2 linked regions of the Drosophila melanogaster genome follow. Changing the gene in region 1 together with any one later gene gives a genetic interaction. Each region holds a gene or a part of one and is shown on either strand. Other genes may lie near its edges.

What was found.
Region 2: of Lsm12a (region 1) and tyf, changing one enhances a phenotype caused by changing the other (phenotypic enhancement), as found in Drosophila melanogaster (one study listed by BioGRID).

Annotation. Positions count from the first base shown.
Region 1 is NC_004354.4:12,016,620-12,021,477, reverse strand, and holds Lsm12a (LSM12 homolog a), read right to left. Parts: upstream 2,839-4,858; 5' UTR 2,298-2,838; coding exon 2,153-2,297; intron 1,851-2,152; coding exon 1,720-1,850; intron 1,654-1,719; coding exon 1,537-1,653; intron 1,472-1,536; coding exon 1,340-1,471; intron 944-1,339; coding exon 815-943; 3' UTR 759-814; downstream 1-758. Other genes in the region: Tango4 (transport and golgi organization 4), read right to left, coding at 1-140, 200-318; Chrac-16 (chromatin accessibility complex 16kD protein), read left to right, coding at 3,605-4,027; regucalcin, read right to left, coding at 4,507-4,699, 4,757-4,858. UniProt on the Drosophila melanogaster protein: Component of the Atx2-tyf activator complex which functions in the circadian pacemaker neurons to activate the TYF-dependent translation of per and maintain 24 hour periodicity in circadian behaviors.
Region 2 is NC_004354.4:4,115,880-4,120,832, reverse strand, and holds the start of tyf (twenty-four), read right to left. Parts: upstream 3,284-4,953; 5' UTR 2,938-3,283; intron 2,870-2,937; 5' UTR 2,554-2,869; intron 2,478-2,553; 5' UTR 2,416-2,477; coding exon 1,816-2,415; intron 1,120-1,815; exon of another isoform or gene 538-1,119; coding exon 409-537; exon of another isoform or gene 393-408; intron 332-392; coding exon 1-331. Other genes in the region: Tip60 (Tat interactive protein 60kDa), read left to right, coding at 3,981-4,040, 4,108-4,234, 4,289-4,953.

The sequences.
Region 1 (4,858 bases):
CACTGCCATCGGTGATGGCCAGCGTCTTGTCGCCCGGCGTTTGGGCTCCTGATGCCTTCCTGGCCTCGCCGATCTTCGCCACCTTGTCCAGCACAAGGCCATAGCCATCCTTCGCCTTGATGGAACGTCGCAACTTCTCTCTGTTTAACGAAAAACACAAATTAACAATGCGTAAGTTGCAAACTACAGGTATACTCACAAACGTTCGTCGATTTCGGGCAGATTTCCCTGGTTGGAGACGAACAGATCGTGGGTGCGCTTCAGGGAGCGGAATATCAGCGTGTGCACGCTGTGCTTCTGCACGTCTTCCATGGCCATTGTCTGTTATTTATTGCTTATTCGCTAAATTTGTTAAAAACGCGGCGCGGCTCTTGCAGCTGACCACCACAAGCCATACATAACAATCGGGCTATCGGTTATCGGACAGTGATGTCTGCTAGCTTGTTTATAGCCAAATGTTAATGCTACATGGGCATCCATTTTTAAAAGAAGTTTTATTAAAATTTTAAATGTATTTAAATGCAAATATCTAATATCTAATTGAAATTGTGTAATTGAATTATCTAATAATTAGAAAAAAATGATTTAACTTTTCACAACCTTAAGTCGAGATGAGAAATTGTGGGTCCTGAATTCAAAGTACCATAAAAGCCACAAAAACTGATAGTTTTTTCAGAATCGTTTTTCGAATACCCATCAAAGTGTTAACTTTATGCGCCCACCCGAGAGATTAAAAAACCAATACGTTGTTCTTTTTTGAAGCACATTTCTGTTTTTTTGTTTTGTTTTGTTTGTGTTTTTTTTCTGCTTATTATTAGTTTGCGGGAACCGGCGATCCAGATGCAAGAGATGAGGACGTGGGAGACACCGATGGTGACGAGGTGCTGGCCGCAGCTCCGCTTTCCGGGACGGGCGATGGCCTCGTGTTGAAGAACTGTTTGATCTGCAGATAAAAGATGGAGTAAAGATTAACCTATGAACTTAAAAACACCGACCACACCAGCCACAATTCTGTCATAAAGCATTATTTTTTTTTACCGCAACTTTGCGCATTTGTATGTTTATATCAGAATGATAAAATGCTTAATACTGTTTCTAATCAAACCCTAAACCACATTGGGAAGTACTTGAAATATTTAGGACTATCTTGACATATGAATAACCTATAAACATTAGCGAATCTAGAATGTTCTGAACATTAATTCAACTAAATCGTTGTTTGAGCCATTGCGTTGGGTTTAAGTTACAATGGTTTGCTAGTCTGATTAAAGATTTAACGAACTTCATTTCGGATTTATGACAGTTTGCTTGAAGGTGCTGCGGTTGGGCAATTGCTTACGATGCGCTTGATGTAGTTGCATGAAGTTTCGTTGTTCGAGCTGGACACCACGTTGTCCACTCGGTACGGCGGCGAGATGGTGACTTCATTTAGGATCTGTATGTTAAGTCCTTGCCAGGAGACTTCATTGTACTACAAAATAGTAAAAGAAATAGCAATGGTTAATGATGATAGGGCATCGTGCAAGAGGTCATTACCCCGTATTGTTTGGCTATCGCTCTATAGAGTTCCTGCGCCTCTGGACTGACATCAGCATTCTTAGACTTCAAGTAGTCCTGTCTTCGCTCAACTGTTTTCCTCAGACGCATTTTGACCTGTATAAGCAATATATATATATATATATATATATTTATGTAAGTGGTCAGAGCTGGCATGCTTACCTGTTCCAGATTAAGCTTTTGCGGATCATCAAAGTTGCCGTTGCACTCCTTGATCACCTGCACGTTGCTGCAGAGCGAGAGGTTCATCGCGTAGATATCACTCAGCTCCTCCGTGGACTTGGATCGGCATTCTATGCGGTTGGAAAGGGAAGAGAAGAGCAGGAACGGGGGGCAAAGATATACGATGTACGGAGAACCAAATTGTCAAGCAGTAAACAATGGGTTTGATAAGAGATAGGTGATATGTGAATGCTATCAGTTAAGATGAGTGTGAATTAGAATTATATACGAATCTAAAGGACAGTGTGACTTTTTGTCCAGACAGCTCAAGAGATCCCTGTGGACAGCCGGAGAAAGTGCTCGCTTTCACCCGGCGGGCAAGTTGTGTGTGTGTGTGGGTATGCATTTCGGGGATTTCGTTGCAAAAGGATACTCAGGATAAGCATCTTTGTGTTGTGATCGAAGGCCAGCACCTCGCCCTCCACCTCCTCGTTGAAACAGGTCGTACAGACGACTGTGGATCCGATGCTGAAGCAGTCGTTCACTGCATTCACTGCGCTCGCAGCGGCAGCGGCCATTTTTAATTGCTGGTTGAGATTGGCCAACTGGAAAAGTGCACCCACAAGCTATGTGGATAGGGGATTCGAATCTAGATCTAAATGTCGATACTGGTTTGTTGGCACGCCGTTGCTTGAACAACGTTTCACAAACAGCGATGGTGATGATGTTGATGATTTTGCGGCAGCAGCAGCTGTTTTGGATGCTTGAATTCCTGGAATTCTCGAAAGGATTTAACTAGCTCTCTCGCTCGCTCTCACTCTCGCCGTCTGTCTGTCTCGTTCTCTCGTGCCGTGCAGCTCACTCGCTTTCACTTGAACCGCTCTAATGGAAATGTCGCTTCCTGGCGATCTGGTCGAGATCCTGCTCCTGCTTCCACTGCCCCTGATCGTCGCGTGAATTGGCCAAAAACTCGCTGGTTACTCGCTCGACTAGCTATCGGCTATCTATTTTGGCGGCAATTGCGGTTCGGTAATTGAAAAGTTGGAAAAGTACGCGAAAAATTTATTGGTCAACACACGAAACAACAGCCAAAAGGGGGCAGCAGAAAACGCAGTGTTGCACATGCCGCGCAGCGATAGGTTCGATAGTCATCGATTACGGAAGTCTGGCAACGTTGCTGCAAACAAATCAAGTGCAATAATAATTTATTGATATTTATTTATATGTGAGTTCGAAAATGAAGACAGATTTTTAAGCTATAAGTGTGAAAATCCAAAGTTGATTGCATACTGAAAAGACAAAAGTAGATAATATTGACTTGTCTAAATGTTGTTGCAATTGAATGTTTCCTTATAAATCGTGCAGATCCTAATCGTTTTACCCCTAATCTCTTGATTAAGTTAAAGGTATTTGCTTAGAGCGGTTTTTCCACTAATAAATTGAAATATTTGGAAAACTTTTATTAAATACTTGTTGTGGCTACCGATAGCATATCGGCGCAACGTTATTTGGTTAAATTCCCGCTCCAGCTAGAGCTGAAAGTATAGGCAAATCCGAATGGGTTTCTCAATTTTTATATATTTAGCGCTATAACTTAATTCTGAGAAAGTAACACATATATTATTGTGCACATCCAATTCCTTGCAAAAATAGAAGTATGCCAGCATTGTTCGTTTTAAGGGAAGCCCTGCGGTTACTTATTTTAAGTCTTCATAAACCATAACCATCGATAGCAAATAAAAAAAAAGAATCGATAGTGTCTCAGAAAGGTACGAATTTCATGCCTCGATTGTAACATCGATAGTTTCACAGCTCCACTTGTGAGCCCAGCTCTAAAACCAAAAAAATTCCCAAGCCATAGTTTGCTTGGGAATTAAGTAAACAAATGGGCGAACCAAGGAGCCAACCACCCGTGGAGCGTCCACCGACCGCGGAAACCTTTCTGCCCCTCAGCCGCGTGCGAACGATCATGAAGAGCTCCATGGACACGGGCTTGATCACCAACGAGGTGCTCTTCCTGATGACCAAGTGCACGGAGCTATTCGTTCGCCATTTGGCGGGCGCGGCATACACGGAGGAATTCGGCCAGCGACCGGGCGAAGCGCTCAAGTACGAGCATCTCTCCCAGGTGGTCAATAAGAACAAGAATCTGGAGTTTCTGCTGCAGATCGTGCCGCAAAAGATCCGTGTACACCAGTTCCAGGAGATGCTGCGGCTAAATCGCTCCGCCGGCAGCGACGACGACGATGACGACGACGATGATGACGATGAAGAAGAGTCCGAATCGGAATCGGAGTCTGATGAATAGACGGTCATGCAGATGTTTATCTACACCGAAATTGAGTGGATGATCTCCATTCACCAAAACATCGACTGATTTTTTACGCCACCTTGCTATCTTTAATTTTAGACTAGACGATAAGTATAAAATTGTTTATAGAACCACTGATTAATAAAGAAGCATAAGAGCACTGCGTCCTCCAAATGACCATAAGATCCGCGGATGATTACCGTGTGTCTGCGGCTGATAAGATTGTTGTTTGAAATCAGAGTAAAGTAGAGCATAGTCAACCTCTTTGTGAGTTTACATGATGATCCTGGATATTCCCAGGAGAGAATGTGATCCTTAAGCTGACCTTGAACTAGAACTGCAAAAAAGGATAACCTAACTAGCATGCAAAACATTGATAGACGCGATTTAAAACGTTAAAGAGCATAACATATAATTGCACTTGGATTCGATTGGTACATTTTACTGCGGCTAAGGATAGATAGAGATTGCAGCTCCTAGACCTTCAGGTTGACGCCGGGATAGCCGGTGGCGTTCAGTCCGGTCACCTTGTAGGTGGTGCCAGCTGGAGCGGGCTGATCGAACTTGGCGGCAGTGGTCACGTACAGGATGTCCAAGTTGGGGCCACCGAAGGCGGCGGAGGTAATCTGTTTGGTTGGGAACTTGATCTCAAGCAGAATCTTGCCAGTGCTGCAATGAAGTACGACATTTAACACTCGATCACGAATGTTAGAGTGAACTACTCACTTGGGATTAACCTTGTAGATGGTGGCGCCATTGAAGGTGGCCACATACAGGTTGCCCTCGGTATCGATGGTCAGGCCATCGGGCAGCAGATGATCCTTGGGA
Region 2 (4,953 bases), 7.9 Mb from region 1:
AGCGACCACTCAGCTGGTAATCACAGTTGAAACGTTGGGTTGCTGCCGCTGTCGCTGCTGCTGCCGCCGCCGCCGAGGTTGTGGCCAGTTCGCTGCGGTGCGCCGCCTCAACGAGATCCTGCAGGGAGCCGCCCTGCTTGTGCCGCTGGCCGGGATCCGTTGACCGGTGATTGGTGGAATTATAGCTGCTGTTGTGCCCTGCACTGCTGCTGCTCCCGCCGCTCGAGCCTGTTGCTGCACTGGACGTTAGTGCGGATGGGTTGATTGTGAGGCAGGATTTGATGGCACGATAAGAGATCTCTTCGTCGTACTCAGCCTTTTTGAGCATTTGCTGCAGGCGTAAAAGACGTGAAGCAGAAATATTTATACACACATATATATGTTGCACATACATGAGCCAAAACTTACCAGAAATCGCTCGCTCTTGTTCTTCCTGTCGCCAGGATTTCGATACCAGTAGGCCTCTTCGAGAAGTTTCTTCAATGATGCGTCGTCCAGATCATTAAAATCGCTATCTTCCCAGGTATCGTATTTTGTCTGCAAAAGCGTCGAAGAACAATATTTGGCAATTAGTTTTGCAATTTTTCGGGTCATCAACACGAACACATATGCGTGTAAAACAATAATCGCTGCGACTTAACCTAAAAAAAAAAAAACAAAAGAATTCGGAGCTCCACTTATTCCAAACACATGCCCTTCTGAGTTCCTTATGCGAACTGATGAAGTACCGACCGCAGAGCAATAGAAGTATTAAATGGCACACGGTTCCAGTAAGTAAACGCTCTACATACGCACACACATGTGTACTATATGGTGTTGCACACGAACACAAGAAAACAGAAAAAAAAAAAAAAAACAATAACTGAAATAATAACGGGAATAGGCGAGAAGTTTTCGTGGTTAATGCCGCGGATGTCACCAATGCTTTTATAAGATAAACAAACGCTTTGCGGTTTTATCCGTTCCTTCTGCCCGATTCGGGGTCTTGATTTCAATAATTATCGAAGGCGCTGGTCAAAAAACCGACTGCGATCAGAAATTGAAGTTCCTGTGTGGCGATTACTTGATGGGACCAAATGTAACGGCACTATTTCGAAAGCCACAATCCCAGTCAGTCAGAACGAGATAACAGTATGCTTGGTCTATTTCTACATCATTTTCGAATTCTTTGCCATTAACTTCGTAAACGGTACTTTGGCTTCTATTCGCATACATATATGTATGTATGTGAGTATGTATTCATTAGGGGGATGCAATTTGACTGTCAATATTTATTTTTTTTTTAATAAAATTCGGTTTTCGATAAAACAGTGTTTGTGAGTGAGTAATCGGCTCACTTAAAGTTTTTTCCAAAGGTCATGTTTTAAGGGGATTTCGGCATTTTCATTTTCGACAACTTTAATGGACCGCAAGCGTAAGAATCTATTTTAGTTTATAGCTTAGTGTGCAAATAAACAATATTTATATCTAATTTATGTATACCTTGGTTTTGGTGGTAACGTAAAGATCGGACAACTTGCTGTCCAATACTGGAATTCCACCCAAAATCGAAATTAGTTTCAAATTTTACGTTTACTTAGTTGTTTCTCAACTTAGTCGCCCTGGTAGAGCTCTATTCAAGCCTGGCCATGCATAAGATATGGAGTCCAAACACCATAGAGCTTTGGAGCCTCCAGAACGTACACAAATGTGAAATTTTGCGAGTAACAAACATAACTATACCTTTTTCTTAATAAAACAATATCTTAACTCGGTTTCTGCTTAACATGCACTATATTTCCACCTTAAGATGCAACTCAGCCAGAGCGCACTTACCTTTTTCTTCTTCTGTCGCTTGCCGACATTCTGATCGTCCTGGGTCTTGCCCTTGGCAGTGGCTCCGTACTGGAGTACCCTGCGGTTTGGTCGCGACAGTTCAGCGCTGGGCGAATCCTTTAGCATGGCAAAGACCTGCGAGAAGGACGTATCTCCTGCTGCTGCTTCTGCTGCGGATCCTTTGGCAGCGTCTGCCGTGGCTGCGTGGTTACCAGAGCTATGGCTATTACTAGGGGATGATGACTTCTTGGGGTCATTGCCTCTGCTGCTACTGCCGCTGGTGGCTACATGGTTGGCAGCCACTGGTGCCGCTCCTTGGCTGTCCTCGTCTTTGGCCCCCTGGTTCCTACAGGCCTCGTCAAGCTGCGCGTCTGCCTTCGCCACATGGTCTGACATCATGGTCATAAGCTGCTCCTGTGGGAACGGCGTCGGCGTTGTTTTGGTGACGGTGGTCGTCGTGGTGCTCTCGCTCATCGTGCCAGCGGCAATCGAGACGATGGGCGTGTCCGGTATGATCGTTGGCAGTTTGGCAGCTGCTCCACCAGATGCCACACGATCCGCCGGTGTGTCCGATGATGACGGCGTTTGTTCATTGTTCATCTTCTTTCGTTTGGTGGCATGCAACGAAGGAGAAAAACAAATGCCATTCGAATTCCTCGAATCTGTTAGGGCGTGTGAGAAGAGGGGAATGTTTGTTTTAGTAAACGGGTATATCTCGCATTCCCATTAACTGCTTACAAACTGTTTCTTCTCTTCGCGATGTTTCTAGGTAGCCCAGCTGCCCAGCCGCCGTGTGGTTGCCACCGCGACTGCAAGTGCTCTGCAGGCTGTTCCGCCGATTCCTAACGATTCCTCTCGACTTCCAGACGGTTTGAGGCACAGGGGAGCCCACCTATTGCGCATCAGTTTGGACTCCTGCTGCACTTGACAGGCCTGTCGTCAGTAGCTCTCCTCCGGCTCAAACCTTTGCTCGCGGCATTTACGTAGGTTCCTGGGCACGGGGATGCGGATTGCTCGCAAACAGACCGGAATACGGAAATGTGTGCGCACGGATCTGCAATTGATTGGGAAATGGGGATGAAGTTGAGACTAAAACTGAAACTGAGACATTGGACCACTGACTGGGTGTTTTGCAGCATTTGTTGTTGTTCTGGTCATGCGGACGAGCGACAAGGGGCGGTGGGTGGTAGCAGGTGCGTCTGTTTAGTCTTTGGCGACCCCTTGCGGCCCACTGACTTCGAATTTCTTTAAAAAGCACTGGTCTCTTTCCATATTCATTTTTTTTATTTTTTTTTTTTTTTGGCTAAAAAGCAGTGTTGCTAACTACGCTGCGTGCCAGGGTTGACAAATGCTGTTTGTTGTTTGTAGGGGCAAGCCGTTGAGATTGCTAAATCGGCGTTTGCTCTAGGCTTGCATCTTACTAATCAACACGAGATTGCCTGCCCGTTTTGCAACTAATTAGTGGGATATGCCCATCGAGTTGGCAGCCCTGCGGCTGTTGTCAGTGGCAACACTATCGCAAAACACGTCATTTTGACACAGCTTTTTCACCAATTTCCCGCTCAGCTCGTCAGCATTGGGGCACTGCGGCACAGTTGCCCAGCAGTTGTGGTCACAATTACCCAGTAACTGAAGTTTTCCGCGGATCACAGTAGTCATTTATTGATAAATACGCCAGTCGATGACAGCTGTATAACTTTCTGCGCACTCACACGAGCGCACACGAATGTACGCACCCACACACACGCACACAAATTTACGCCTGTGTACATTTCTCTGACCTTCTCAGCGTTTTTATTTTTTGGTTTGGCAACTGAAAAGAAGGGAGCACATAACTGCGCACTCAAGTTCTAGCAACTGCAATTGAGTCGAACGGTTGTGCTTAATATGTTACAGTTGTTTGTAAGCGGGCGAAATTGTTTAATTGCACAGTAGGCACATGAGAAAAAATACCGAACCCGAATTGAAAAACTCTCTGGAATTGTTGTTGTGTTGTGCAGCACTTTGAAAAGGCGACGCGACGCTGCGCAGCACTGCCCATGTCATCAACATTTTTAAACCGCTGATTCACTGTGGCGGTAATCGATTGGTCGATAGTTATTTACGTTTCGCTATCTGGCAATACTGCTGTTTTAGGAAAAAAAAAACGCGTAAAATATAAACAAATGAAAATTAACCACAAATATGAGTTCGACGACGATGTGGCCTCCATATGCGAGTCAACGGTGGGTTCCGCTACGCCTTGGCGTGTTTTGGGTGTTCATTCTAATGGTTTTAACCGCAAACTTGCAGGCCGCCCTAACCGAGGGATGTCGTTTACCCGTCAGGATGCACAAAACGGACGACTGGCCACTAGCGGAGATTGTGAGCATCAAGGAGTTGGATGGGCGCCGGCAGTTTTACGTGCACTATGTGGACTGTGAGTACCAAGTCGTCCAGTGGGAGCATATTTAGTATAACTGCCAATCCGCAGTCAACAAGCGCTTGGACGAGTGGGTCAACGAGGAGGATCTGTACACGCGAAAGGTGCAATTTCCGCGGAGAGACGGCTCACAAACAGGCACCAGCACTGGAGTGACCACGCCACAGCGCCACCATTCCCTAGCGGGCAGCGTTTCTCGGCCTACATCACCGCAACACCCTGGTTCCGGGGCTCTGGCAGCCATCCCCCAGACTCCTACTGGTGCATCAGGCAGTGTTCCTCCCCCTGCTGGCATTCCAAACTCTGTGGCTCCACCCGGAACACCAAGCAGTGGGGGAGAGCTTGTGAATGGCAACAATCTGGCCGCAGCCCTTCAGAAACGCATCAATCGCAAGCGAAAAAACCACGGAGGCTCGGCCCATGGACACCACAGTCTGACCAGTCAACAGCAGCAGTCACATCCGCATCCTACAACTCCGCAGACACCCACGGCTACGCCCGTGCATGTGACCGGCGACGGTTTAATAAGCGGAGCGGCCAATGATGATGGTGATGGATCGCAGGATGGCAAGACGCCCACGCCGAGGCAATCAGGCAGCATGGTTACGCACCAGGACGACGTGGTCACCCGCATGAAGAACGTGGAGATGATCGAGCTGGGCAGGCATCGCATTAAGCCCTGGTATTTCTCACCCTATCCGCAAGAGCTGTGTCAA